Diceros bicornis minor: one gene and its partners. The protein of the gene in region 1 interacts with the protein of each later gene in a pairwise test. Links are inferred from orthologs where the notes say so. Each region holds a gene or a part of one and is shown on either strand. Other genes may lie near its edges.

Evidence for each region.
Region 2: the proteins of HSP90AA1 (region 1) and KEAP1 interact in a two-hybrid assay, tested with the Homo sapiens proteins (2 studies listed by BioGRID). The link is inferred for Diceros bicornis minor from reciprocal best matches to the Homo sapiens genes HSP90AA1 and KEAP1.
Region 3: the proteins of HSP90AA1 (region 1) and RPS3A interact in binary tests that used the Homo sapiens proteins (3 or more experiments, as listed by UniProt). The link is inferred for Diceros bicornis minor from reciprocal best matches to the Homo sapiens genes HSP90AA1 and RPS3A.

What each region holds. Positions count from the first base shown.
Region 1 is NC_080763.1:46,925,263-46,934,848, forward strand, and holds the start of HSP90AA1 (heat shock protein HSP 90-alpha), read right to left. Parts: upstream 3,997-9,586; 5' UTR 3,903-3,996; intron 3,349-3,902; coding exon 3,187-3,348; intron 3,095-3,186; coding exon 2,728-3,094; intron 2,365-2,727; coding exon 2,231-2,364; intron 1,917-2,230; coding exon 1,596-1,916; intron 1,379-1,595; coding exon 1,213-1,378; intron 1,026-1,212; coding exon 835-1,025; intron 730-834; coding exon 582-729; intron 364-581; coding exon 95-363; intron 1-94. UniProt on the Homo sapiens protein: Molecular chaperone that promotes the maturation, structural maintenance and proper regulation of specific target proteins involved for instance in cell cycle control and signal transduction.
Region 2 is NC_080769.1:8,737,631-8,747,430, reverse strand, and holds the start of KEAP1 (kelch-like ECH-associated protein 1), read right to left. Parts: upstream 3,902-9,800; 5' UTR 3,745-3,901; intron 3,642-3,744; exon of another isoform or gene 3,355-3,641; intron 3,248-3,354; exon of another isoform or gene 1,780-3,247; 5' UTR 1,733-1,779; coding exon 1,094-1,732; intron 1-1,093. Other genes in the region: S1PR5 (sphingosine 1-phosphate receptor 5), read right to left, coding at 8,103-9,299. UniProt on the Homo sapiens protein: Substrate-specific adapter of a BCR (BTB-CUL3-RBX1) E3 ubiquitin ligase complex that regulates the response to oxidative stress by targeting NFE2L2/NRF2 for ubiquitination.
Region 3 is NC_080750.1:39,538,871-39,548,957, forward strand, and holds the start of RPS3A (small ribosomal subunit protein eS1), read left to right. Parts: upstream 1-6,405; 5' UTR 6,406-6,450; coding exon 6,451-6,512; intron 6,513-7,280; coding exon 7,281-7,384; intron 7,385-7,769; coding exon 7,770-7,957; intron 7,958-8,664; exon of another isoform or gene 8,665-8,737; intron 8,738-10,087.

The DNA of each region.
Region 1 (9,586 bases):
AAGGGACTGTGTATGATACATTTGGAAAAACATCTAACAGCTTCTAAGAAGAGTCAATCAGGAAATGTAGGTGAAAACATTGTTATTTACACACCTTTTCTACTTTTTTCTCCAAGATGTCCTTCATGATTTTGCAGAGGTTTTCAAACTTTGTTTTTTTCTCTTCCTGTTTCTTTTTCTCTTCTTCATCTTCTGGAAGTTCCAAGCCCTCTTTGGTGACTGACACTAAAGTCTTGCCCTCAAACTCCTTCAGCTGTTGCACGCAGTACTCATCAATAGGCTCGATCATATAGATCACCTCTAAGCCGTGCTTCCGAAGACGTTCCACGAAGGCCGAGTTAGCTACCTGGTCCTTGGTCTCACCTGAGAAAGTGGAAAATTACTTTTAGACCTTGGACAGAAATGGTTTCATTTCCTTTTATCTTTTCCTGTCTAGTCAGATCTAACCATAGAGATGGGCTAGCTCATGTTAACTATCTTGCCTTCATCAATACCTAACTTATATAGGTAGAATACACCCCCAAAGTTCCTACGAGGTTATAAAAAACCAAGATGTGATTGTACCATTTATTGTCCGTTACCTGTGATGTAATAGATGTGTTTCTGGTTTTCCTTCATTCTTGTGCAGTAGTCCTTGAGAGAAACCATCTCATCACCAGAAGCAGATGTGTAATACCTCAACAGCTCTGAAAGCTTTTTCCGGTTTTGAGAGTCTTCATGAATTCCAAGCTGAAAAATAAATTTTAGGAAGACATTTTCTGCGTTAAAAATCATTTGAAATTTGAGAAGCCTATCTGACTACAGCTACTAATGATCGAATGTGTTTATACCAACCTTAATATTTTTAGAGAACTGCTCGTAAAACTTTTTGTAGTTCTCTTTATCTTCTGCCAGTTCAGTGAAGAGTTCTAAGCATTTTTTGACCAAATTCTTTCTGATAACTTTCAAAATCTTGCTTTGTTGCAACATCTCACGGGAAATATTTAGAGGAAGATCCTCCGAGTCCACCACACCTCTAATGAAATCTGAAAAAATAAGGACCAAATGCACTCAATCATTCTAAGGACAAAAATTCACAAAGAAATACACCCCCAAAACCAAAGATAAGCCACTTTTCGTCCCACATGCTTATTATACTGAAGATCTGGAGTTGACAGAATAAAATTCTTTAACCAGTGACAGTGATCATTCCTTATACCCAACCATACTCACTCAGATATTCAGGGATTAGCTCCTCACAGTTGTCCATGATGAAGACTCTGCGAACATACAACTTAATGTTGTTCTTTTTCTTTCTGTTTTCAAACAGGTCAAAAGGAGCACGTCTTGGGACAAAAAGAAGGGCTCTGAATTCCAATTGTCCTTCAACTGAAAAATGCTGTAATAAAATACACACTAAATCAGCACACAGTGCAAGCAACTTTCACTCAAAGCTGCTTAACCTGACACACACACACCTTAATTACACAACATAAAGCACTTTCGGGGAGGGAATAGGGGCTGGGATGGAAAAGCTGCCAGCAACAGCCCTTAACGATTTCAGAGAAACAACTTGCAGAGGTAGACTAGCTTTGAAGCACTCAGCAGTGACTCACCTTCACTGCCAAGTGATCTTCCCAGTCATTGGTCAGGCTCTTATAGAATTCTCCATACTCTTCGTTAGTAATATCATCAGGATTTCTGGTCCAAATAGGTTTTGTTTTGTTCAGCTCTTCCTGATCAATGTACTTCTCCTTGATCTTCTTCTTCTTCTTCTTGTCACCATCTTTCTTTTCTTCTTCTTCTTCATCAGAGCCAACATCTTCTATTTCAGGCTTGTCTTCTGATTCCTTTTCTTCTTTTTCTTTTTCCTCCTCTTTGTCTTCCTTTTCTTCAGCCTCATCATCACTGACTTCTTTGTCTCGTTCCTTCTCCACCTTCAAAAAACACAAAATCACATCACCTCTGCATTCCAGAACTAAAAAAAGCGAAATGGAGTGGGCACGCTTATACCAAAGCCTAAATTAGTGAGCCAAGCTAGGAAACATTAAGAAGCCAAGAAACTCCTCATTAGTATCTGATGGATCTAACTTAACACCTCTGGGTACCTGGTACCTTGTGAGACTAAAAAGAATTCAGACTAATCCAGTAAACACACGTTTGGGTCTTTTCCTTATCAGCAAATCTAAGGAGTAAGGATTTCAGTTAAATCACTTATAGTTTTCTACATACAGGATACACACAAACTCACAAACAGTGTAATGGGGTAGCCAATAAACTGAGAATGCTTCTTCACAATCTCCTTTATTCTTCTTTCCTCTAAGTACTCTGTTTGGTCTTCTTTCAGATGCAGGATAACCTTTGTGCCACGACCCATTGGTTCGCCTGAAAAGGAGATAGAGAAATTGACTCAATTCCAATCTTAACAGCCAAACCAAGGAAACAAAGAGTACATACAATCAATTCAGCTCTGGACACCATACCTAACAATTTGTGAACAAGTCCAGGAGACGTGGTTTACCGTTACTATAGATAGGAAGAGTCCCAGACTAGTTAACTGCTTTGCCCACCATACAGAACCACAAGCTCACGCTACTACACCACCACATGCTCACCAGCTTGCCTCCTATTATACCAAGCAGATACAAGTTTTCACAAATTTCTCTGCATCCTCAGGGGTCCCACGCCTACAGCACCCCACCCTCCACGTGACTGGCTCACCCAGGAAATGCTTTATCAGGTGCCTACCTGTATCAGTCCTGACTGTGAACGATCCTCCCGCAGAAGACTCCCAGGCATACTGCTCATCATCGTTATGTTTGGTGATCACGGTCACCTTCTCAGCAACCAAATAGGCAGAATAAAACCCAACACCAAACTGGCCAATCATAGAGATGTCTGCACCAGCCTGCAAAGCTTCCATGAACGCTTTGGTCCCAGACTTGGCGATAGTACCAAGGTTATTGATCAAATCGGCCTTGGTCATTCCGATTCCGGTATCCACAATGGTGAGGGTTCGATCTTGCTTGTTCGGAATGAGATTTATGTGCAGCTCTTTCCCCGAGTCTAGTTTACTGGGATCCGTCAAGCTTTCATACCTGATTTTGTCCAAAGCCTATTACAAAACAGATCATTAAACACCGAGCCCCTAAATGGTGAAGTTAATACCGAAACCTCAAAACCCAGTTCTACGGTAATGAGACTTACATCTGATGAATTTGAAATAAGCTCCCTCAAAAATATCTCTTTATTCGAGTAGAAAGTGTTGATGATCAATGACATCAACTGGGCAATTTCCGCCTGAAAGGCGAACGTCTCCACCTCCTCCTCCTCCATCGGCTGGTCTTGGGTCTGGGTTTCCTCGGGCATCTGGAAAGGACACCGTGCCACGTTACACGCCGCAGGACGGCGACAGCGGCGCAAGCCTCACCCGCCTTCAGGTATTTTTAGAGCGCAATTGAGGAAAACTGAAAGCAGGAGGCCGGCCGACAAAGGATGACCTCATTTCGCGCTGCGATCACAGGAGCGTGCGCGCGCCTCGAGGCGGCCCGAGGCCGGGCGACTGGGCCGCAGCCGGGGGTCCCGGCCCCACCGCGAAGCCCCCGGTCCGCGGGCCGGCCGGAGGCGGCCTGGGCGAGCCGCCTTCCCGGGCGGGGAGGACGGCCCTCCGCCGCGGGAGGCGCCGCCCCCGGCAGCCCCTTCGCTCCTGCAGCGCGTCCGGGCGACCCGCGCCCGCTCCCGAGGCGGGAGGGTCGGGGCCGCCGCAGGCCTGAGGCCTCGGAAAGGAAACCACGGCCGCCCCCACGCCCGCGGGCCGGGGGGCTCCCAGGGCTGGAGCGAACCCCGCCACCCGCAGACTGCGCCCGCCTGCCCGTCCCCTGAACCCCATTTCCTCCCCGGAGACCCCCCAACCACCCCCTCACCTCGGCTAAAGGACCGTACGGGTTCCGCGACAACGCAGCACCAGGACGCAAGAGCAACTGGCGCGCCGCCCCCGCGCCTCCCTTATATAGAGGCGGGCCCGCCCAGCGCGCGGCGCCTTTTCCAGAAGCCTCCCGAACCTTCCGGAAGCACCCTCCCCAACCGCCGCCGCGGCCGCGCGCCTGCGCCTGCGCCCTGGCCGCCGCCCGCCCCTCTCCCGGGCGCGCGCGGACCCGCGCAGCAACGGCCTGAGCGCCCCTCCCCCAACGGCCGCCGCGCGCCGCCGCGCCCGCCTCAGTGCGCCTGCGCGGTCCGGAATTCTCGGGAAGGTCTCGCGCTTTCGGGGACCAGCCCTGTCCCCGTGCCGACAGCTCAATCCTGAGCCCGCGCTCCCAGCCCTGCGCGCTCCCGGACGTGCTGAACGGCACCCCTAGCGGTCCCTCGCCGTCGGCGCCGTGCAGGCCCGGGGAGTGTGGTCAGGGGCTGAGTGCCCCTGCTCGTGTTTTTATGAAATCCGCGCAAGTCAACTTTTAATTTTTAAAGAGTGTCCTGGTGCTGTGAAAGCTTCGGGTCCCCCAGCACGAGGGCCCGCCAGCGCAGTGTCAGGGGTCCAGTGCCAGCGACCAGGGCCCCGGGGCCAGGTTTAGGGCTTTGTGGCCCTGTTTAGGGGCTCGAGGCAGAGGTGAGGGGTCAGGTGCCGCATTAATACGTCTAGGGCAGTGATTAGAGAGGCTCAGGGCTACGTTTAGGAGTTGAGGGCCCGGGGTAGCGATTGGGGGGTCCAGAGCCGGGTTTAGGGGTACGGGTCCGCATCTGTTCGCCCTAGGCAGCGATTATGGGTTCCGAGGCCTGGAATTCGGGCAACAGGCCCCTGCGAGAGCCTCGATGTGCGGAGGCCCGGGACGCTTGGCCTGGTTAGCGGGTGCAGCGGTGCCCGTCCATGATGGGCTGTGAGAGGTGACCAGGGCATGCGCTTGGGGAGGCAAGGCCGATCCTTGGTTTCTGCCTTTATGAGATGGGAGCCCCCCCCCCCCCAACGGAAGTGGAAGTCACGTTTGGACAAGGGGAGCCGCCGGGACCTCGTGGGGCTCCAGGCAGCTGGTTCTGAGGCCGAGTGGGACAGGGAGCGAGGAGCGCCAGCTGGTACTTCTGAGGGTCCGCCCCCCGCCCCAAACACTGGCCACTGCCCAAATTGCGGGGCTGGTGCCGTCCTTACGCCTACACAGGAGGAAATGCTGAAATGGACACTTACACAATCGCAAATTCTCCAAACCCGTGCGCAGTCTGTTCAGTCTCTTGGGGATTTCTATCTACCTTCGGTTTGCCATAAAACTACATCCTTCACGTTTTGAGGGTCCCTTAGTCTGGAGTTCGGAGATTTGGTGAACAAATGCGTGTTCACCTAGCTACACCCGTCATGATTTTGTAAAGCCCATCTTTTTTACTTATTTTACGTAATATGAGATCTGTATATGAAGTATCTAATTCATGGGTTGGGTGATTAACTTGCCCCCAAAGCCACCTTCTAAATGGGAATTCTAAGTGTTTTGAACAATGCCAGACCAAGCTGTAAAAGTCTCAGAGGGACAGGGGTCCTTAGTCATCGCCCAGCTCAAGATCCAGGGTGTTTCCCGTTTGGAGAAACTAAGGCCCAGCGCGCAGAGCACCCCTGCCCCGCCCACGGCCTTTCCCTCGGAAACCCTCCGCCCTCCTCTGGCTCCTTTGTCTCTAGCTCCTCCCACCATTGGTCCTCCTCCTCCTCCTCCTCCTCCCCCTCCCCCCCGCTACACACCGAGCCTTCGGGAACAATCTGGAAGCTCCTTACGATGTAAACAGACTTGACTGAACGCTGCCTCCACTTCCTTGTCCCTGGGGAAACCCAGCTTTTCCAGGAACGGGGTTTTCAAACTGGGGCCTGAGACCCACTGGGAGTGTGTGAAATAACGTAGGGCGTCCTGACTACCGTTAAAATGGGAAAAATTGAATGGGAACTAGAAGCCACATGGTAAGGGTAGGTGAGGGTTGTTATGCATTTGTTGGGGCACGTAAAATGTGTTTCTGACTCCAGCTGTGTCCGGACGCCTCGGCGCGGGGGTTGGGAGGGGTTGGGGGGGTTGGGGGGCGGGCGGAGGAGGGGGAGGGGCAGTAGTGCTGTGGGTTCCTTGTGGCCACCATCAGCTGTTTAAGGTCTCCACCGCTGCGGGCGCCTCCACCCGTAGCCCACCAGCCACCCTCCTCTTTTCTAGACTTGGAGGCCTGACCCACTTTTTCCTTTCTATCCCACTTACGCCATTGCCCAGGAGGTTTAAGATTTCTTGTAGATGAGCCATTCAAAGCCCCAGCTGTGAAATTCTCGGTTTCTAAGGCCTTCACCTCCCCCCTCCTCCAGAGAACTTGCCCCAAGGCTACTCCTGGAACCTTTGTTTTCCAGGAAGCTCCGCCTACAATATCCCTCCCTTATTCCAAATCTTGTCCTCCCGCTCTCCCCTGCCCTGCCCGCCTCAGTTACTAAGTACAAGGACGTTTTTGGTCCCCCGTGACCTCTGGGTAACATTCCACACTAACCACCACTGCCCTCCTTGAGACCTCTGCCTTGGTTCCACCTCTGCCTTGGTTCCACCATCAGCATGCTGTGGTTTCCCTCCGGGCGCTGGCTGCTCCTCTCTCTCCTCCAGACTCGCCCCCTCTCCCTGGCCTGTTGCTGGAGCTCCTGGGAGAGTACCTATGTGCGGATGATGCACAGAAAAGCCCCAGCCAGGACTCTTCTAGCTCCAGACCTGGTTGCTGAGCTCACTTCCCCCACCTCTCTGGCCTTCTAGGGCTCACTAGCCAGGTGACTATCCCACGACCTTCTAGAACCCCAAACACCCCGTAGGGAATCTGACGTGAGCCCTGCCACTTCTGCTTCCTAAATACTTTATGAATCCATCCACTTCTCTCCATCCTCATATCCCCCCCCCCCCCCCCCGGGCCTTCACCCCTGCCCACACAACCATCAGCTCACCTGGAAGACCTCCATAGCCAGCTGACTGCTTCCTGAGTCTGCTCTGGTCTGCCTCCCGCCTGTTGCCAAGGGGCGCTGTGAGAACACAGATCTGACCCTGTCAGTCCCCTCCTCCACACACTCCTCAAACACTTGCTAACACCCCATCACTCCTAGGAGAAAAAGAGCTTCTTAACCAGGCCTGCCAGGCCCTGCAGGGTGCCCCTACCTACCCGTTCATCCTCGGGTCCCACCGTGCTCCCTGTCACTCTTCTTTGTACACCTCACACCGTGATCTACCGCCACAGGGCTGTGCAAATGCTGTTCCTTCGGCCTGGAACAGCATTCTCTCTCTTTTTCTCCTATTTAATGTCCTAGTGGACCCTCAGCTCACACATTTCCTCAGGGACCTCTTCCCACCTCCATTTCCCTTCCCACTTGGCCCGAGTGGATCCCTTGATATGAACAGGCTCTCAGGATGTGGGCATCTCTTCCTCTTGGCATGAACCACACCTGCTCATCCACATCATCGAGCCTTCCAAACCCTGCTCTCCTACCCCCAACTCTCTTCCTTTTCTACCCTGCCTCCTCAACTCTGTATTTCTAATATATCTCTAAGTCCTACAGATTTAGCTCCTAAATATTTGTTGAACTTGTCCCAAAGTGATCTTGCTGTCAGGGGAATCTGACAGTTTTCCTCCTGCATTTGAAATCTTTCAGTGTCCTCCCAGTAAGCTAGGATACAAGGCCCAGACTCTGGATCCAGGGCCTGGATTCAAATCCCAGCTCTGCCACTGCCTACCTGTGTGACCAGGCAAGTCACTTCTTCTCTCTGTGCCTCTGCTTCAGCATCTGTAAAATGGGTATGAAAATGTCTTCCTCATATGGTTATGAGGCTTAACTGAGCTCATTCTGTGTTTGGAACTGTCCCAGGTAACTGCTATATACATGTTTATTAAAGTAAACAGAAAACTTCCTCATTTGCCTTTTGATTTCTTCTTTGACCCATGGGTAATTTATAAGTGTGTTAGTTTCTAAATATTTGGAGGCCCTCCAGATATCTTTTTGTTATTGATTTCTAATATTTAATTGCATTGTGGTTAGAAAACATACTTTGCATGATTTTAGTCTTTTCATTTTTATTTTGTTTTATGGTTCAGAATATGGTCTATCTTGGTACATGTTCTGTATGCAAAATAATTATGCTGAGGGAAAGATGCCAGTAATTTATATAAAATTTTACAAAATGCAAACTAATTAATAGTGACAGAAGGCGATCAGGGGTTGCCTGTGGGAGGCAGGGCTGACAGGAGCGGGAGGAAGGGATTTCGAGGGGCACGAGGACACTGGGTGATGAGTGTGTTCGCTATCTCGAGTGCAGTGATGGTCTCACAGGTGTAAGTGTATGTTGAAACATAGCAAGTTGTACTTTAAACGTGTGCAGTTTATTGCATGTCAATTATACCTCGTAAAGCTGTTTTTAAAACAATTGATGTTTAGCAAAGACCTTGGAGAAATATTCAGAATCCAGTTATAACTATATAGGAAAATTAAGTGGTACATACTTTGGAAAGAGGCACAGTTGACTCGGAGGAGGATGGTGTGGGTTAAAGTAGAGATCTTCAGCTGGATTGTGAGTGTCAACCCTGCCACTCACTGGCTGTGTGACTTTGAGCAAGCTACTCAACCTCTCTGTGCTTCAGTCTTCTCATCTTCACAGTAGGGATGATCATAGTAAGGATGTGGGAGGATGCCGTGAACTAATCCCAGGGAAGCCTGTTGTGCCTGGCACACAGTGAGCTCTCAGTGGATGGACTCGCTGTTGTTCTCTTGATGGAGGATGGGAGATAGGGTGACCTGCGCTGGCAGCCATTGAACCACCGTGATGCTGTCCTGCACTTGTGCCCATCTGCTGGTCTTAGGCTCCCTGCTTGAGGGGGAAGGGGACGGCTGAGGGCAGGGCCCCAAAGGAAATGATGAACTCTGTGAGCGAGGGAAGGGGGAGTGACGTGTCCAGCCCTGCGTTTCTGGCCATGTGTGTGTTAGAGTTGGCCCGAAAGTGGATTTCCGCAGAGCAAACCAGTCTTCCCATTGACTAACTACAAAATTGGGGGTACTTAGATACCAAAATTGTTCTTCACCTGACAAATTTTAACCCATCCTTCGAGGCCCAGCTTGGGCAGTCACTCCTGGAAGTGCAGGATGGGGTTGGTCCCTTCCTCATCAGCTTGCCACACGCTATCACCAGAAGGGAGCACGATGAGCACTCCCTCCCCATCCTCTCCCACTGTTGTCAGCACTGAGTATGGCTGAAAAAAAGTTTGGCCATTTTGATAGGGGAAATGGTCTCTCATTGTTTAACGAGCACCATTCATTTAATGCTTATTGACTGAAAGCCCGTGTCCAGGCCCCAGGACCAGTGGGCACATAATCCAGCCACTGCCCTCATGGTGGAGACAGAGGTGAAGCCAATACCACACAAATACATGCATTTATAAACTGATGAGTGCTGGGAAGGTGTGGGGCACTACTTGAGTTAGGTCTCCTGGAGGCTTCTCTGAGAGCTGAGGTGGGTAGGTGTTGGCCGCTGGTGCCAGGGTGTGTGTGTGGGGAAGGGCATCTGGGAGAAGGAACAGTGTTTGCAAAGGTGAAATCTAGGAGGAAGACTAGGAGTCACTAGAGAAGAGTGAGCAGGTGGGGTAG
Region 2 (9,800 bases), on another chromosome or scaffold:
AGTGGAGTGCACGGACTTTAACCACCAGGCCGTGGGGCCCACCCCCTGAGTTGTCATTCTGACCCACTACTTTCTAACTGTGTGACCTTGGGCAGATATCTGAAACACTCTGTGCCTTGCTGTCCTCCTCTGTCAAAGGGAGATGATATTAATAGCTGTCTCATAGCAGGGCCACTCCCAGGGTATTAGGGCCCTGGAGAAATATTTGTCAGGCACTGGTTTATACACATAATTTCAGTCACCCCACATCAGCAGGTCACCACCCGTCTGGTACCTGCATTCCCTTGAAACAAACGCTGGGCAGGCCAGTGGGAGAGCCCCGCTCTGGGACCACTTTCCTGGGAGCACTAGGCCCCAGGACTAACAGCAGAGCCCCCTGGGGCATCTCGTCAACCCCACATATGCTCTAGAAGGAAGGAGAGAAACGGGGACCAGGGCAGCGGCCACCCCAGCTGGTCCCCGCCCCTGGAGGAGGTCTTTGAAATCTTCCAGGAAGGCACCCCAGAGCATACTTCCCCTAGGATAGTTGGGAAGATCCAGGGATCGCAAGGATGGAAATCACTCAGCACGGGGGCTGGCCCAGAGCCAGGGCTCGAAGGGCACTGCTTATTTGCCCGGATAAATAATCTTTGTTCACAACTTCCTCCACTTCTAAACGAAAATGAAACCAAGCAGTGCGGAAGGACAAGACTGCAGGGACCAGAGACAACACGGCGAAGGGTCACACTGGCAGTTGGCAGCTTGTCCCCGGGGGGGGGGGGGGGGGGGGGGGGGGGTTCAATAACTATTTGCTGACTGCCGGAAATGTGAGGCCCTGCTCGGTGAACCCCAGGTTGAGCTGCTGTCATGTTCACTGCGCCCTGTCCCCACCCTTGACCCCAGGGGAACCAGGGAGCCCATGAAGGCCTCCCTGTCCCCAGCCGTGTCCCGGCGTCCCCCCAGATGTGTAGACCAGGAGCTCAGAACCCCATCTTTCTCCAGCTCCCCGCCTCGGCCCTTCTCATCTCCAGCGGAGAGGGTGAGGCCCGCCTGTGCGTCCTGGGTCCTTCCGAGTCCGCCCCCCAAGCGCCCTCGGGTACCCCTCTGGGCTCACCTCCCCAAAGTGCATGTAGATGTACTCGCGGGCGCGCTGGTGCAGCTCGGCACAGCCGATCTGCTCGGCGAAGTTGGCGATGCCGATGGCGTTGCTGGGGTCCAGCTGCTGCACGAGGAAGTCGCTGCAGGCGCGCACCACGCTGTCGATCTGGTACATGACGGCGCCGTTCATGACGTGCAGCACGCACTTCTCGCCCATGGAGATGGACGCGGTGTAGGCGAACTCGATGAGGCGCTCCATGACCCTGGGGTGGATGCCCTCGATGGAGACCACCTCCATGCCCTGCTCCCGCAGCCCGTTGGTGAACATGGCCTTGAAGACGGGGCTGGAGGAGGCCAGCACCACCTTGTGGGCCATGAACTGGGCGGCCGGCACGTCCCCGTACTTGACCTGCAGCGTCACGTCGCACAGCTGCTGGCTGAGCCGCAGCTCGTTCATGATGCCGAAGGCCTGCTTGGTGTGGTCCTCCAGCGTGTAGCTGAAGGTGCGGTTGCCGTGCTGCGAGGGCGTCACCTCGGCCTTGCACTCCGTGGAGGCGTACATCACCGCGTCCCCGGCCCCCTCGGGGCGCTGTGACCGCAGGGGCAGGAATCGGGTGCGGGCCCCAGCCCCGCTAGGCCTGGCTTCCTGCTGCATGGGGTTCCAGGCCACAAGGGACAACACCACCACTGGCACTCAGGGGCCTGGAGGAGGGAGAGCACAGGGCTGGGGGCGGGGCCTGGCGCCAGGCCTCCTTTTTAAGGTAAAGCGACCCCTAGACCAGTATTCCTTGCCAAGCCGCGGTGCAGCAGCATCCACGTGGGCTCGCTAACTGTCCCAAGGGTCGCCAGCCCAAGGGTCCCTCTTAAAATTAACACAGGTCAGATGATGTCCTTCCCCTGCTCAGAATCCCCCCACAACTCCCTATGGCATGAAGAGTAAAAACCGAACTCTTCGATGACCCGCAAAGCCCCCTGCAGTTAGCCCTTCTCCACCTCTTCCCTTTGCTCACTCTCTTCCTGCTATCTGGTGGCCCTTCCCTTCCTAGAGCATGTCCAGCTCATCCTTCATCCACCTCGCCAACATTTATTGAGTGTCTACTGTGTGCCAGGCACTGTTCTAGGCACCCGCGACACAGCAGTGAGCAAGACAGACATAAACTGTGCCCCCCTGGAACAGACACTTGGGGAGCAAAGGGCCATAAATAAAATGACAGGGTGACCTGGAGGCAGTTACTTAAAGTCAGGTCGTCCAGGCCTCTGTTGGAGCCGAGACAACAAGGATGAACATATGAAGGGGGTGTGGGTGGGAGTTAGTGTTCCAGGCAGAGGGAACAGCAAGTGCAAAGGCTCAGAGGCAGAATGAGGAAGGGATGTAAGGAGAGACAATGACTCTTGAAGGGAGGGTTTCCATGAAACCCGCGGCGTCTGGAGGGCCAGGGCGTGAGTTGTGCTTTGAAAGGCCCCGCAGGGAGAAGTGGGGGATCTGCAGAGGCTCCCCAGGTTCTGCATCTCATCCTTCCGGGGCTCAGCTCAGAGTCACCTCCTGCCTGTTTTATTTCCATCCCCGCGCTCGTCGGGAACCGAAAGGAGCTCCTCTGCTCACTTGGTGAGGGCTGGCCCGGCCCTCTGGCGCTCGCCCCCGCGCATCGGAGGGCAGGGAGTGGGGGTCAGCGTTGTGCCCACCCTCGCATGTGCCTCGCGCACGTCCGGCCTGGGGCCTGGCACCGCGCAGGGGTCAGTGAGCGTGTGGCTGGCGGGCTGCCCGCTCTCCCGCGCCTGCCAGGGCACCCTCCTCCACCAGGCCACGGCGGAGGCCCCGGGCCTGCCTCTTGGTCTTTGGCCCATCGATCAACGGTGCCCGCTGTGCGCTGGGCACTCCCCCCCAACCACCACGAAGCGGTAAGTGGGGGACTGCGCATGCCCCGTCGGAGCCTCCACCGAGGCCTGGAGCAGGGAGGAAGTGACCCCGCCGCGGCCTCTCCACTGCCAACCCCAGGGCGCACGCCAAGCCCCCAACGCCCCGGGGTCCCGGGGCCTCCATCGGAGCGGCGCTCCCCGGGCCTCCCGCCCGGCTGGCGTCGCCCCCGCGCCACCCCGCCGGTCGCGCCGTCCAACAAAAGGACAGGACTCGGGCCGCGCCCTCCTGGCCCTCCGCGGGGCCGCGGGCACCCCGAGGCCACCGGGCCCGCGGCGGCCCGACCCCCGGCCCCCGGCACGGCCGCAGGGGCGCTCGCGGCCCGCCGTGCCCGCAGCCCGGGCGCAGGCCGCCTCACTCACCCCGCCATGGCCGCGCTCGGGCTCCGCCTCCGTCGCCCAGGCCCGGGCGCCTCCATCGCTGCGCCGGGGGGAGGCGCGGAGCGCGCGCAGGTCACCATGACTAAGCAGAGCCCGGCGCCGGCCGTGTCACAATAAAAGTCCCCGCGGCCCCGGGGACGACAGAGGGGCCGTCCCCCCCCCGCCCCCGCCGGATGTCGCCAGCTGCGCAGCCCCGGCGCGGCCACCACAGCGCCCGTCCTGGCGGCGCGGCGGGGCGGGGGACCGCAGCCCTCGGCGCACCCAGCCGCGTGGTCCGAGCCGCCGGGAATCGCGGCCTCGGGTTCGAGGCCCGTGCGCCCCAGTCCGCACCCGGGGTCGGCGGACACCCCTCCCCGCCGCCGCCGCGCTCACCTCGGCCCCCGCGCAGCCCGGGTGGCTCGCGCCGCGGGGGGGATGCACCGTGGTGTCACGCGCGCGCCGCGCTTCCGGGAAGCCCGAGGGGCCGCGGCCCGGCCGGGGGCGGCTCCCGCCTAATCGTCGCTGTCCGGGCCCCCGGGCGCCTCTGCCGTCGGGGGACCTCGGCTCCGGGGCCGCAAGGCCTGCGGGGTCGCGGCCGTCGGGTGGGGGTCGGCCTCGGGACGCCCGGGAAGGAGGCGGGGAGAGGGCGGAGAGGGCGCGGCGGGGAAGGAGCCGCGATTCCCCGCCCTTCCCGCAGGTGCCCGGCGCCCAGGGGCGAGGAGCGGGGCGTCGGGTGGGGCCGCATGGCCAGGCGCCCCCTGGCACCGTCCCTTCCATCCGCCCTATTTCGTGGTCTCAGCGCAGGGCTGCTCTCCACGGCTCACTCCTCCTTTAACACAGGCCTCACGGTCCGGCGGCCGCAGGATCCAGCTAGAATTATCTACTGAGTTCGGTTTTCCTTGTCTTTATTTTTTAGGTACCTCCAATCTAGAGGCGCGTGGAGCTCGTCTGCGCAGGTTCGAACCCCGGCTCTGGCAATCTCTAGCTCCCTGCCGGTGGGCCTGTAGCTTAACCTATAAATTGGTAACAATAGGGCCGGCCCGTCGCTTAGCGGTTGAGTGCGCCCGCTCCTCTACTGGCGGCCCTGGTTCGGATCCCGGTCGCGCACCGTGGCACCGCTTCTCCGGCCATGCTGAGGCCGCGTCCCACATACAGCAACTAGAAGGATGTGCAACTATGACATACAACTATCTACTGGGGCTTTGGGGGGGAAAAAAAAAAGGAGGAGGATTGGCAATAGATGTTAGCTCAGAGCCCGTCTTCCTCAGCAAAAAGAGGAGGATTAGCATGGATGTTAGCTCAGGGCTGATCTTCCTCACAAAAATAAATAAATAAATAAATTGGTAACAATACGAGCAGCTACCCGCCAGGTTATCGGGAGAACTAAATGCCCATGCTACCGCCCAATAATATGAACGATTGTTATTTTTCATGACAAGGGATACTGATTTGCCATTTATGCTGTTTATGCTAGAAAGTTAACTTTTCAATAAATGTAAGATTATTTTTAAAAGAGTCCATCTATATGAAAACTAAGTGAATAATAGAAGAAACGCTAGACTGAACAGAGGTTGGTGTAAGAAAGGATTCTGTCCACCTTCCGGGTGAATTTGGAGGATTCAAGGTCCCTGCTCAGTGTCTGGGATTAAATGGGAGGCCGGGGTTCCCCACCTGGCCCCTGATTTCTCTTGCGTGAGGCTGCAGTTCTGGACTGCTCCAGAGGGGTCGACATGGCGTAGTCGCGCTGTGCGGAAACCCGCATCCTGCTCGAACACGCCAGAAGGCAACCCCTCATATCTCTCAACATCAAATCTACAGGTCCTGTGACCCAGCGGTGACACTTGTAGAGATTTATCCAAGGTACACTCGCACACGTGCAGGAGGATGTATGTACACAGATGTTTATTTCCACCCTGTGCTTACAGGCAAAAGATTGCACTCAACCCACATGTCCCTCCCTAGGGCCCTGGTGTGCTAAGTGGCGGCACATCCATGCTGTGAAATACTATGTAGCCAGTGAAAAGGAGCAAGACATTTGCTCTACGAATTTACCTTGATTTTTAAAAATGTAAAAAAGAAGTGCTACAGACTGAATTGTGCTCCCCCTCCAAAAAAAAATTTTATGTTGAAGCCCTAACCCCCAATGTGATGGTATTTGGAGATAGGGGGCTAATTAGGGTTAGATGAGGTCATGAGGGTGGGACCCCCATGATGGGATTAGTGCCCTTATAAGAAGAGACATCAGGGGCTGGCCCAGTGGTTAAATTCAGGGCACTCTGCTTGGGCAGCCTGGGTTTGAGGTTCGGATCCCAGGCACGGACCTAGACCACTCATCAGCCATGCTGTGGTGGTGACCCACATAAAAAATAGAGGAAGATTGGCAAGGATGTTAGCTCAGGGAGAATCTTCCTCAGCAAAAAAAGAGAGAGAGAGAGAGAGAGAGACATCAGAGAGCTTCTTGCTTTCTCTGTACCACTCGAGGACACAGGAAGAAGGTAGCCATGTGCAGGCCAGGAAAAGAGTCCTCACCAGCACCCAACCAAGCTGGCACCCTCATCTTGGACTTCTAGCCTCCAGAACTGTGAGAAATAAATGTCTCGTTTAAGCCACCCAGGCTATGCTGTTAGGGCAGCCGGAGCAGACTAGGACAGCAGGACACTACAAAATCTGTGGATGTGGGGCCGGCCTGGTGGCGCAGGTGTTAAGCTCGGGGGGCCCCGCTGCGGTGCCAGGGGTTCCCGGGTTCGGATCCAAGCGCGCACCCACGCACTACTTGGCAAGCCATGCTGTTGCGGCGTCCCATATAAAGTGGAGGAAGACGGACACAGATGTTAGCCCAGGGCCAGTCTTCCTCAGCAGAAAAAAAAAGAGCAGGATTGGCAGATGTTAGCACAGGGCTGATCTCCTCACACACACAAAAAAATCTGCGGGTGTGCAGCAATTTCCAAGATACATTATTAAGTGAACAAAGCAAGATGCAGAGCAGCGCTGACGTTCTGTAAAAAGATGTGTTTACATTTCACCTCCTTTATCCACAGCACAGCTCTGAAAGATTCCCGGGAATTCCCACAGTGATGGACTCCAAGAAGGGGAACTAGTGCTTTCTGGCTTTTCTAGAATATGAACAAGTGAATAAAGCTCCTACCAGCACACCATCAAACAACCGAATAGCGGGCTGGGGTGTCTCAGGTTCCCCGGGAAGAGCCTGGAGGTTGGGGCGCCAGGCCGGGTGGGGAACTGGGTCCAGTCCTGGGGGTGTCCTGGGACGGTGACCCCAGGCTTCAGTGTGTTTGTGTTCCGGGAAGTAGGTCGGTTTGCCACGCGTGGCCCGTGGAGACTCAGGCCCCCAGGCTGAGTCGGTGGTCCCCAAAATACCCCCCCGCCCCCGTCTTTGCGGCTGCCTGCAGTTCCGCTGTCTCCCGGCAGGTGGCGTGCGGCAGTCTGAGCCCGGAGCCCCCCGCCCCTCCCCCGGGCCGGCCCTGCCACTCAGGGGTCAGGAATGCGCCTGGGGACAGCCAGGGGCCGCGGCCAGCGCGCCTGGAGCCTTTTTTGGGCATAAAAGGGGCCCTGGTATCGCCCCCGGCCCAGAATGCAGACCCCCAAGGGAGGGGGCCTTGCCAGACCCCTCTGGAGGAGCCAGACAGCAGGCCTGCACCTCCTGGGACCTGGGAGCCTGGCTCAGACACTGGGACAAGGCTTGAAGTTTCCTCTTCTGTCAAATGGGGGTACAGGAACCCACATTGCAGGGTTGCAGTAAGGGTAGGAAAAAGGTGTGTTCTGGGCCTGCCACAGTGGGGAGACTAGCCAGGCACAAAAGCCGTCATTGTTTTTATTTTATTATATTTTTATTTTGTATGAAGGATCTGACACCACACTCAAAGAAGTCTTGTTTCGGATAGGAATTGGTTGAGTCTCCCAGAGTCAAATTTTAGGGTGCCCTGTCTGGTGGTCCCCTAAACTGGAAAGCTGTGATTGGCTTCTTTCTTTCCATCATTTCCACACTCAATTCCTCAGTAATTGTGTTGCTGCCTCCAAAATCTACCCCTAACCCACATGGTCTGGGGCCCCGTCATCGCTCCCCTGGGCCAGTGCAGTCACCTTCGCCTTGTTCTCGTAGCTTCCACCTTCCCCCTTCACAGAGATCTGTGAACATCTGAACTAGGTCAAGTCCCTTCTCTGCCTAGAACCCTCTATGGCTCCCATCTCACTCAGAGCAAAAGCAAAGGCCTCCCGTGGACCCCTGGGCCACCTGCTCCATCATTTCTCTGCCTTTGTTTCCTCCCATTCTCCCCCCTCCATTGCTGCTCCAGGCACATCGGGATCCTTGCTTTTCATAGAACACACAGGCACATTCCAGCCTCAGGGCCTTTGCATCTGCTGTTCCCTCACCCTGAAATGCTCTTCCTTCGAGTATTCCCAGGACAATGACGTCTCAGCTCACATCACATGTTACCCCCTCTTCAGAGAGGCATCCCCTGACCGCCATCGCGTCACTGTATTGTCACTAGAATTATCTCCGTTATTTCGTCACTCCATTATTGCCTGTGTCCCCACCAGAGGGTCACTTTCAGAAGGGCAGCGATTTTGTCTGTTGTGATCACTGCCGTGGCGTTTAGCATCAATAAAATACATTGCCCCGCGTCTCTTCTGCCTCCACCATCTTCTGCTGCTTTTCCTACAAATTCCTTTATTTAAAGAGAAAAAGTCTGCAAAAATAATTTCTCAGGAAGGCAGCGGCGGGCCGGAGGGCGTCAGTCTGCGGCCGGTGCAGGCACCAGGGTCTGGGCGGTAGTGAGCGCGCCGGGGCCGCCGGTGGAGCCGCTGGTGTCCAGCCCGTCCCGCTGGGGCGACGAACGCTCAGAGCGGCTGGAGCTGCCGCCCAGGCCGGGGGGCAGCCAGCGGTGCAGGCCGCCCGAAACCTCAGCGGCGCTCCCCGACGGCCGGGAGGTGCCCGGGCCTCGACCGCAGGGGCGGCGACCACAGCAGAGGAGGCGCAAGAGCGCGTGGCGCAGGTCCCGGTTGGTGAGCGTGTAGATGATGGGGTTCAGAAGCGAGTTGGCCATGGCCAGGCCCAGGAAGGGGTCGGCCTGCAGGAGCACGGGGCAGGCGCGCGCCGGGCACGCCACGTCCGCCAAGAGGAGCGAGAAGAGGGGGCCCCAACAGGCCATGAAAGCCAAGAGCACTATGCTGAGCGTGCGCAAGAGCGCGAGCGAGCGCGGGGTGCGGCGCGCCCGGCTCCCGGCGCCCCCGCCAGCCCCCGGGCGCGCCCGCAGGCGCCGCGCGTTGGCGTGCACCTGACAGTAGATGCGCGCGTAGAGCGCACAGATGGTGGCCAGGATGCCGACGAAGACAAGCACGCAGAAGAGCACGTAGGGCTTGGCATAGAGCGGCAGGACCGTGGAGCAGGAGTCCAGGTGGCCCAGACAATTCCAGCCCAGCGAGGGCAGCAGCCCCAGGAGCAGCGACACGCCCCAGGAGGCGACCACCAGCGCCAGCATGCGCCTCCGACGGGCGGCGGGCGCGGGTCCCCGGCGCGCCATGGTGAGGAGGCGCTCCAGCGCGATGGCCAGGAGGCTCAGCACCGACGCGGCGAGCGTCATAAAGACGCCGCCTTCACGCGCGAACCAGAGGGCGGGGGACAGCTTCAGTGTGAGTGGCCCCGACAGCAGGATGTTGGCGGCATAGGCGGCACCTGCCAGCAGGTCGGACAGCGTGAGGCTGCCCAGGAGCAGGTACATGGGCGCATGGAAGCGCGGGTGGCGTCCGAGCACGACGAGCACCGCCAAGTTCTCGAGCACGATGAGCGCGCACACGACCAGGCACACGGCGGCGTCGGCGCGCAGCCCCGCGCCGGGCTGGTAGCGCGCACCGCGGAGCTTGCCGGTGTAGTTGTAATGCAGGACGATGACCTCGCTCACCGGCGCGGGCCGCAGCAGCCCCGGCTCCATGGGCCGCCCGCCCCAAGTCTGCGGAGAGGTCAGGTGCAGGTCAGACCCCGCGGCCTGCGGAGGCGGGCACGGGCGGGGCCTCGCAGCCCTGGGAAAGGCGCCTCAAACCCTAGCCACCACCCCGGACACGCGCGTGGGGGCCCAGAGGGAGTTTGGGTTGGAGGGGGGTGTCCTTGGAGACAGGCTGACACAAAGACACACAAATATATCACGAAGGGACAGGGTGACACAGTCCCACAGGAAAGGGACACTAATAATTCACACTCAAGGAGGGATATCCAGAGGCACAGGAATGCACGCAAATCCAGCCACATACAGGAAGGGACACACAAATACAGTGACACACCGACAAGCACATGTACGCACATAGTCAAAGTAGGTAAAAAATATGCAGTCCCAGCCCAGACATGAAAATACATTCACACAGGGACAGAGCGACACAAGCAGAGACATACAAGTTGGGGCACACGCAAATGGGGTCTCACACCCAGTGGCGAAGGC
Region 3 (10,087 bases), on another chromosome or scaffold:
GCCCTCTCTAAACTCTCCACTCTCCCCACATCTCCATGTGTTCACCAACCCGGAAGCTCTCCGAACCCTGCCCTCTTGGGTTTTTATGGAGGCTTTGTTACATAAGCATGATTGATTAAATCATTGGCCACTGGTGACTGAACTCAATCTCCAGCCCCTCTCCCCTTCCCAGACGTCAGTGGGGTAGGACTGAAAGTTCCAACCCTCTAATCACATGGTTGGTTCCCCTAGCAACCAGCCCCCATCCTCAGATGTGGTTCAAAAGTCACCTCATTAACATAAGACACCTTTTTTTTGGGGGGGATGAGGAAGATTGGCCCTGAGCTGACATTTGTTGCCAATCTTTCTCTTTTGTTGCTTGAGGAAGACTGGCCCTCAGCTAACATCTGTGGCAATCTTCCTCTATTTTGTATGTGGGACACTGACACAACATGGCTTGATGAGCGGTGTGTAGGTCCACATCTAGGATCCGAGCCCACAAATCCTGGGCTGCCAAAGCGGAGCATGTGATCTTAACCACTATGCCACCTGGCCAGCACCCAAAAGACACCTTTATTTCTCTCTCGGCTCTTAGGAAATTTCAAAGGTTTTTGGAGCTCTGTGCCAGAAATGGGGACAAAGACCAAATACATATTTCTTACTATTGTGGAATTGAAGAAAGATGGGAGTCTCTCATGTTAAGGCACTAAAATGGAGCTGGGGAGACATGAGAGGAGAGGAACAAATTCCACCTTCAGGATGAACTCTTGAACTCATTAGATGCCTGAAATGAATCTGCAAGTTTTCTCTAGGAAGATAAGATTATCGGGACAGAGACCTCATTCCTGTCAAAGGTCATCTTCTACATTCCTAAGTTTTAAAGGCTTGTTTCAACCAATCCTCATCCCATGACTACCTTGAGCCTGGAATTTTTTAAGACATTCCTTTCCCTTTTTTTTTCTTTGCTTTTGTTAGCCATGACTATAAAACCTTTCCTCTTCCTTCAAGGCTGGAACACAATTCAAGTGCTGCCTGAATCTGTGTTCCTGGGCTGCAGTCCTAACAAACCCTGAAAAAACTTCATTTTATTTAATCTATCAGAGTCTACCTCATAAGTGGTCAACATTATAAATCACAGTATCACAGATGTATTAAAGAGAATGGAGGTTTCCATGAGGAAGGAGAAGGGAAAGAGAGCTGGAACCACCAGAGTATGATATTTGACTATAAAACTGCAGGATTGGCATTTAAAAATTTTAAAAAGATCAAACATTGGGATATTTCATGAATAATATTCACTTTAGAAATTATATCTTTAATTTTTAAATAACAGCTTTATTGAGCTATAACTCCCATACCACAAAGTATACCTTTTATACCATAAATTGTATACCTTTTAAGGTATATAATTGAATGTTTTTAGTATATTCATAGAGTTGTGGAAACATCCCCACTATATAACTCATTTTTATATTTATTTAAAAATTATTCATTTTATACTTAATATCATAGGAAACTCAACAAGAACAGAAGAAAAAAATAATGCCACCCTAATACAAGGATGTTGATTTCCTCTGAGTCTGGAATAGATGGGCTTACCAAATAACCTGGGAGATTTTATTTTTATTTTATCTATTTATTTTTATTTTTTTTGGTGAGGAAGATTGGCCCTCAGCTAACATCTGTTGCCAATCTTCCTCTTTTTTCTTCGAGGTAGACTGGCCCTCAGCTAACATCTGTCCAATCTTCCTCTATTTTGTATGTGGGACGCTGCCACAACATGGCTTAATGAGTGATATGTAGGTCCATGCCTGGGATCTGAACCCATGAACCCTGGACCCCAAAGCAAGTGCACGAACTTAACCACTATGCCACTGCGCCAGCCCTTCAGGGAGATTTTAAACTGGTAAAGTTTCTTGTTTTTGATATGTCTTTTTTCACTGCATTTGTCTTTTGTATAGTTATAATCAAGATGTACATAAATTTTGTATCCTGCATTGACCACTTTATCATTAACATTTTCTATATGTCTAAATAATGTTCATACTCATAATTTATAATGGCTGTATAACCATCTACCAAGTGGATGTGTCATAATTTACTTAACCATCCCCTTATTTTAAAGATTTAGGTTATTTCTAATCTTCTAATTTCATGATTAAGACTCTGTATATTATCTTTACACATTTAGGTTTTTTCCAATTTTGGATTATTTCCTTATAATATATTTGCAGACGGCATCAGGACTTTGACGGCTGTTGAATCATACTGTTAAATTACTTTTCAAATCGCTTATCATTGTAAAATAACAAGTACAAATGAGAGAGCACTGATTTCACTGCAATCTGGTTAGGACTTAGTAATATCATTTAAGCATTTTAAATAATGCCATCAGTAAAAAAACACCTAAAATTTGCATTTATCAGGATGATGAACAGATATAGAATTTTAAAATTTAAGATAACAAAGTAAGATTTCCTTAAATTTCTCCATCTATGAGAGAAATTTCTAACCATGAGCTAAATAAATGACCTACTATATCCCAAGCTCCCAAACTAAAATTCTATTTAAAATGCTATTCTTTTTAGTAAGGAATTACTTGTCCAAAAGAGAAGAGAGAGAGAAAAAAAAAGGAATACACAATATAAACAAATACCAAGTTACTTTTGCCCTAAGGGTACTTCTTGGTTTCAGAAAATTGGAACATTTATTTGGACAGCCACTCTGGGTGACAGGGATATGAATCTAATCGCAGGTCCACAGAACATGTGAAGTCTAACAGGACATCCTCCTCTCAATAAACTGTGACCTTAAAGGGGTACACCCTCAAGATAAGAGCTGAATCCAGAGTAGCACAGCTCCTAGAAGGAATTACAGCTGGGTCTGAACTTCCTGGGTTGCCCAGGAAGCCTAAAGCCACAAGCTGTTAAATGCCTGCAAGACTCCAGCAGAAGGATATGTATATCCTTTCTGGAAGAGGGCATCTTCACCCTAGGCCTCAAATTATTCCCACAAATAAGTTTTCAAATGCAATAAGCAGTGCAGAAAGATAACTAGGAATTTAAGAAAACTAGACTCTATGAGGGAGAACTAGCACAAAAATAGACAACAGAAACAGACCGGCAGAGACTTCAGATACTGAAACTATCATACAGTCACTGTAAAACAATCATGGTTACTGGGTTTAAATCTATATTGAAGATACCTGCAAAGAATAAGAAACTACAAAGTGACATAAATTAAAAAAGAAATGGAACTTTTAAAAATAAAAAACACAATAATCAAAATTCAAAAGTCATTGGATGGATTTAATAGTCACAGATGAAAAGAAAATTAATGAAACAAAAGTAACACCTTACTAGGTTTGATATATTGTTAAATTTTTCTGTTCCATTTTATTCTATCTGAATTTCGAAATTCTCAGATAGTTGAGACCCAATAAATTGTTTCACACCCTCTATGCTATCTTTTCTTCTCCTGTTTTCCTTTTTTTTTTGAGGAAGATTACCCCTGCGCTAACATCTGTTGCCAATCTTCCTCTTTTTTTTCTTTTTTTCTCCCCAAAGCCCCAGTACATAGTTGTGTATCACAGTTGCAGAGTTGTAGCTCTTCTATATGGGACGCCGCCTTAGCATGGCTTGATCCGCTGGTGAGTAGGTCCGCACCCAGGATCCGAACCAGTGAACCCCAGGTCACGGAAGTGGAACGAGAGAACTTAATGGCTACACCACCGGGCCAGCCCCCTATGCTATCTTTTATTCAATATAATTAAATTAAAACTGATGATTACACCATTTAACCTAACAGTATCAGGGAAACAATTTTTTTTTTAAAAAGCTTTTATTACAAAACAAAGTTGAAGGCTGAAATACCTACCTCTGACAAATCCCTTAGGTGCTGGTGTCGCTAGAACAAACTAGATGCAGCTGACTTCATTAATGCCTCCCCTGTGGCTTTTTCACTCTTGGGCAGAAAGAAGAATCAGACCAGGAAAAAAGTAAGTTTGGTTTTTATTCTGGAGTAGGTATCCTGGGGTCTACAACACTTTTCATCGGTAAAGCTTTAAACTAGTGAACTGCCACCTATGAAGTACACACAGTCCAGGTTACTGTAAGTATAGAATTAATACAGAGTTTATTAGACTCAATATTATATTTGGAAGGACTCATTGATTTCACTGGTCACTAGTTTTCACCAGTCTGCAATGAGACAAGAAAAATAACATTTATGAAGTTTCTCATAAAGCTGATTTATTTGTTTAAAAGAGCTGACTTTTCAGATGATACGTCCTCTATTTTTATTTTGGGGGTCAAAATATAATTTTAAAATGAAATGATGCTGATAGTAAACAGCAGTTGTTTTTGTTTTCATTTTATAGCTTGGTGAAATTTAAAAACTGCAGTCCTGGGCCGGCCCCGTGGCTTAGCAGTTAAGTGCGCATGCTCCGCTACTGGCGGCCCGGGTTTGGATCCCGGGCGAGCACCAACGCACCCCTTCTCCGGCCATGCTGGGGCCGCGTCCCATATACAGCAACTAGAAGGATGTGCAGCTATGACATACAACTATCCACTGGGGCTTTGGGGGAAAAACAAATAAGTAAAATTATTAAAAACAAACCAAACAAAAAAAAACTGCAGTCCTGTTGGTTCCCAAAATTATTGTGAAAATCTGGGTTGATCCACCAAGTCCAAAAGAGTGGGAACACCACTGACGGCATCTACCTCTTCTTTGTTCATCCAACAAACATTTTCAGGGCCTACTATGTGCTAAGAGATGGGGCACAAATAAGAAAACGACTGCACTGTATGCCCTCCTGCTCACAGTGAGAAAGGGACACTTTTCAGCAACAGCTACAAGAAGTTGTGTAGTGCTAAGTCTTCCAGGAGCGGGTCTGAGGGAGAGCCTGTCTGTCTGGGGAATCAGTCTCTTACTGAAAGAAGCAATGAAGCTGACTGTCTTGAAAAATGTACAGCTATTTGCCTGCTGATGAGGGAAAAAGAGTGAAGGCCAGAGAAAACTGTTTCGTCCAGGGAATTTTAAATAGTTCTAGATGGCTGGAGTTGGGGTACCTGGTAAAGGCTAAAAGGTGGTAAGGATGAAGAGGGATGAGTAGGGCCAGATAGAAGAGTTTTTGTAGGCTTGCTAAGGCTTTTGATTTTTTTAATTGCGGTAAAAAAACACGTAACATAAAATTCACCATTTTAACCATTTTTAAGTATACAGTTCAGTAGAGTTAAGTATACTCATAGCATTATGAAATAAGGACTTGGACTTTACCCTGTAAGCAACTGAGATTAATGGAATGATTGAAAGATTTCAGGACAGGATTGGAGATCGAGGAAGATTGTTTTAGAAGGTGGCGGTGGGAGCGGGGCGGGGGTGGAGGCTAGAAGGGCTGGAAGGTATTACAGGCTTTAAAGGCTGTGGGGGCATTGAGAGAGGGAGTCGATTTCTGGCTCTGTCATGGGTTTTCTTGCCAGAGGGGAAGTCAGAGAAGGGAACTCACAGACCTCTGGCTGAGGACCAAGCTCGTATGCGCCAGCTTTCCGGGGGCTGCGCATTTGAAGCTAGCGGGCCACATCTAGGCCGCTATCTTGTTAAACCCCTACAATTAAAAAAAAAAACAAAAAAAAAACCTGTTCTTGGATTAGTTGCAAAAATTGAAAAATTTGGGGATTTTCACACAAAATAATTTCCAGCTTTTCTGGAAAAATCAAAACATCTGGGAACGCTGGACCCAGAGTCCCTCAGGGAAACAATCAGCTGAGTTCACTCCACCTTTTTTTTTTCTTTCAATGTTATAGCAGCGTATAAGAAATATAAAGAAAAATACACAAATAAGTGTAGCTTGATGGATGTTCACAAAGCGAACGTACCCCACTAACCAGCACCCATATCGACAACCAGAACGTTACTAGTATTTCCGAAGTGATACTTATTTAACCCTACTAACAATCTTATGAGGTAGATTATATTACTATCTCCATTTTTAATTACGGGGAAACTGAAGCATAGGTCATAAGGCTTAATATTGCTGAAACTACCATTTGAACCTGGATCCGCTGTTTGATTCCAAATCCCACGCTTCGAGAAACAACACGTTTGAAAGTGAGACGGCGAGTTCAGCTTTGAGCGACGTTGACTGGGCCTTTCCTTCCACAGAAACTTACTTCCGGTCGTCGGAGCCACGGAAAGCCCCGGCAACCAGAAGGCTGCACCTCAGGCCGCCAGAGCGCCCCTCTCCGGAGCGCACCCTCCCAGGGAGCGGCCCGCCACATGCTGCGCTGTCTCCCCACACGCGAGGGCGCTGGCGCAGTTCCAGTCGGAAGAGTGGCCCTTTCTGTTCTCGCGATATTTTTGAGGCCGGGAAAACGCAGGATCGAAGGTCACGTAGACGGCGCGCCCCGCCCCGTACAGCGTAAGTTCTCGCGCGAGTTGTACTTCCGCCCTTTTGGCTCTCTGAGCAGCGCCATGGCGGTCGGCAAGAACAAGCGCCTGACGAAAGGCGGCAAAAAGGGAGCCAAGAAGAAAGTGTAAGTGGCGACTGTTGTGTCCCCCGGCTTTTTGGGGTCCTGCTGGTGTCGGCGGGCGGGTTCTGGATCGCGGCGAGGGGCGGATGGCGAGGATGCCAGTTGGATTGCTCGGGCCGTGCCGGGTTGGTAAACGCCGAACCGCGGCCTGGCGGATCTGGGTGCTGCGTCGCGGCGGGCCGGCTCCCTTTCCCCTGGCCTTCTGGGTCTTGTGCGCTCCTCTTTTCAGCCACATTGTTCTCGTGACTCGAGCCCGGCATGTTCCATATTGCGTGCTCACGGGCCTCGTAAATTCCACGGGTAATCGCTGCCACTCCAGGAGCTGGAGTTGAGGAAGGCACGCTTCTTGTCCACCCAGGACCCTACACTCCTCCTCTGCTTGGGCCGGGTGGAACCTGGGAGATCCTAATAGGCTCGCGTGAGGCCCTGAAGAGCCTGGGTTACCAGTACGTGTCTTCATGTACCAGTAAAGTTCGAGAGATGTGCATGTTATTTGGAGGCATTGCTGTCTGTGTAGTCGAAGGACCGATGGGGGTGGGGAGTGTGTACGTTTGTGGCATAGTTTTCTCAAAGCATCCGGTCTGTACGGTGAAACAGACGTAGTGGGAAGAGCTAAATTTACAAATGCGCCCCTCACCTCACTGTGAGAGAAATAGTTTACTCTGGTGTCCACATGCCAGTTAGCCCTTTAAAATGATCAGAATGAGGAGAGTAAAAAAAATCAAGAACTACGTGATCTGCGATAAAACCTAAGCATTTTTTTAAATCCAGGGTTGATCCATTTTCTAAGAAAGATTGGTATGATGTGAAAGCACCAGCTATGTTCAATATAAGAAATATCGGGAAAACGTTAGTCACGAGAACTCAAGGAACCAGTGAGTATCTTATTCTTGGTTTGTATTTTTCTTAAATTGAGACGTGTGTATGTTGGTCTCCTGTTGGTCCTGGTGAGACTTGAAGGAAATGTCAGCTCTTGGTTGCAGCTTTGGACCTCGTGGTGCTTGTTTTTTGGTACAACACTTGTAGAAGCATTGTGGTGCTTTTAGAATCACTAAGAAAATGTGCATGGGTAGTTTTGTGCTTCTAATGAGCACTGTCAGTAAATTATTGGTGTCTAGATGGACTTGGTTAAAAAAGTTAAGGTGTTTATAATTTACCATTAATTTAATAATCTCAACTTTATGTATGAGCATTATTTTATTTGGCTTGACTTTGCTTTTGTGGTTCCTAATGTTAAGACAATTGATTCTTGTTTTATAGAAATCGCATCTGATGGCCTCAAGGGTCGTGTTTTTGAAGTGAGCCTTGCTGATCTGCAGAATGATGAAGTTGCCTTTAGAAAATTCAAGCTAATTACTGAGGATGTTCAGGGCAAAAACTGCCTAACTAACTTCCATGGCATGGATCTTACTCGTGACAAAATGTGCTCCATGGTCAAAAAGTGGCAGGTGAGAACAGAAGTTTTAGAGTGCATGGTCATGTGGCTGGCATGACCAAGAATGTCATGGTGTAATGACAGGAAGGAGCAAATCATGTGATTGAGGTTTAGGTTTCATTTTAAATCCTGGATGTTTTCTTGCTATTATTGAGTGCTGACTGTGGGATTGTCACTCCTGAACTTGAGCAACAGCTGAGCAAGCCATGTTCCTCCTATTCGTTTAAATTGAGTTCAAGATTTAATCCTGGGTTATCGTCAAAGTTAGTTTTCTTGCTGCATGTATTAGTGGCTGGTTGGGGTCTAGGTGCAGGTTTGCAGTTTTCGCCTATCTTGAGAATATCTTTAGACCTCGAAACTCAGTGAATTTTATAGTGAAAGGGTGGATTGGGCTAGTCTTGATTACCTCTGGTAATATAGCATAATAGGAGTGGGAGAGTCTCTGGTGTGAGGTTGAAATCTTGGCTTCATTTCCCAGTTGTGTTCTCTTTGGCAAGTAACTTAAAGCTTCCTAAGCCTTAGTTTCTTTATCTGTAAAATGTAGGTAAGAGTATCATCTCATGGAGTTATGAGGATGAAATAAAAGATCCATTTAAACATGCTTAGTATAGTGCTTGGCACAGAAAGATTTAGTGAACAGTGGTATTATTACAGGAAATAATTACATTGGTTCAGATGTGTCTGGCTAACCATCCAGTTTGGGGATATTTTGTATGTGGGAATGAATGATGACAAGATGTTTCGGTCCCAGATGATACATACTGATTATACCGTTACATTTATTTCTGACATTCCCCTAAGGTTTTATGGTTGCATTTCTGGAAATATTTAAGATCCTTTGGCTATCATTGTATTATATTCATTTTTTAAACTGAGGTATAAAATTTACAAAATGCAAAGAAGACAATTCAGTCACTACCTGAGATTGTTCTTTTCTTCTGGTGAGGAAGATTAGCCCTGAGCTAACATTTGCTGCCCATCTTCCTCTACTTGATATGTGGAATGCCGCCACAGCATGGCTTGAGTGGCGTGTAGGTCTGTGCCTGGGATCCGAACCTGCAAACCCTGGGCCGCCGAAGCTGAGTGCACGAACTTAACCACTATGCCACCTGGCCGGCCATAAGATTGTTTTTTAAGTTTAGGCAATAATATGACTAATTATGGATATTTTTATTCTGTTTTAACTGTGAAATTGAATATTTAATCCTAGGCATGGATTTAGTTTGGAACATAAAGACCATTTAAAAATATGTGCATTTTAGTATTGTTACAACAACATTTCACCTATTCAGAACACATTTTTTAAAACGGTGGAGCAGGGCCGGCCCCATGGCGTAGGGGTTAAGTTCAGTGCACTCCGCTTTGGCAGCCGGGGTTTGCAGGTTCAGATCCTGGCGGGGACCTACACCACTCGTCAGTTATGCTGTGGCAGCGACCCACAAAGAGGAAGATTGGAGGGGCCAGCCCAGTGGTGCAAGCGGTTAAGTGCGTGCGCTCCGCTGCAGCGGCCCGGGGTTCGCCGGTTTGGGTCCCGAGCGTGCACCAATGCCCTGCTTCGCAAGCCATGCTGTGGCAGTGTCCCATATAAAGTGGAGGAAGATGGGCATGGATGTTAGCCCAGGGCCAGTCTTCCTCAGCAAAAAGAGGAGGATTGGCAGATGTTAGCTCAGGGCTGATCTTCCTCATAAAAAAAAAGAAAAAAACAAAGAGGAAGATTGGCACAGATGTTAGCGCAGGGCTAATCTTCCTCAGCAAAAAAAAAAGAAGTGCAGATGTCTTTATTGTAGAGTCTCTCTTAGAACCTGTTTTCCTCTTATCTTGCGGAGTTGTACAGTTGATTAGAGGGGAGGGCAGGCTGTTAGAGGCTGGCATGTATATGTACAAGGTGTGGAGTGGATGCTGTTGATACAGTGATAGTGGGGATAGAGAAGTCACCTAGAGAGGAGGAGGGAAGACAGTTGAGAGGCTGTGGTATTTATTTAATTGGATATGAAGGATAGTAAGGATTTGGGGTAATGTAAGATTACAAGGAAGTTAATTCTGTAAATTAGACATGTAACTTATGCTTTATATTGTGTGATGAATACTTGATCTTCCAGCTTTTTTATATTAGAGTTTAAGGGATGAAATTGATAACATTAAA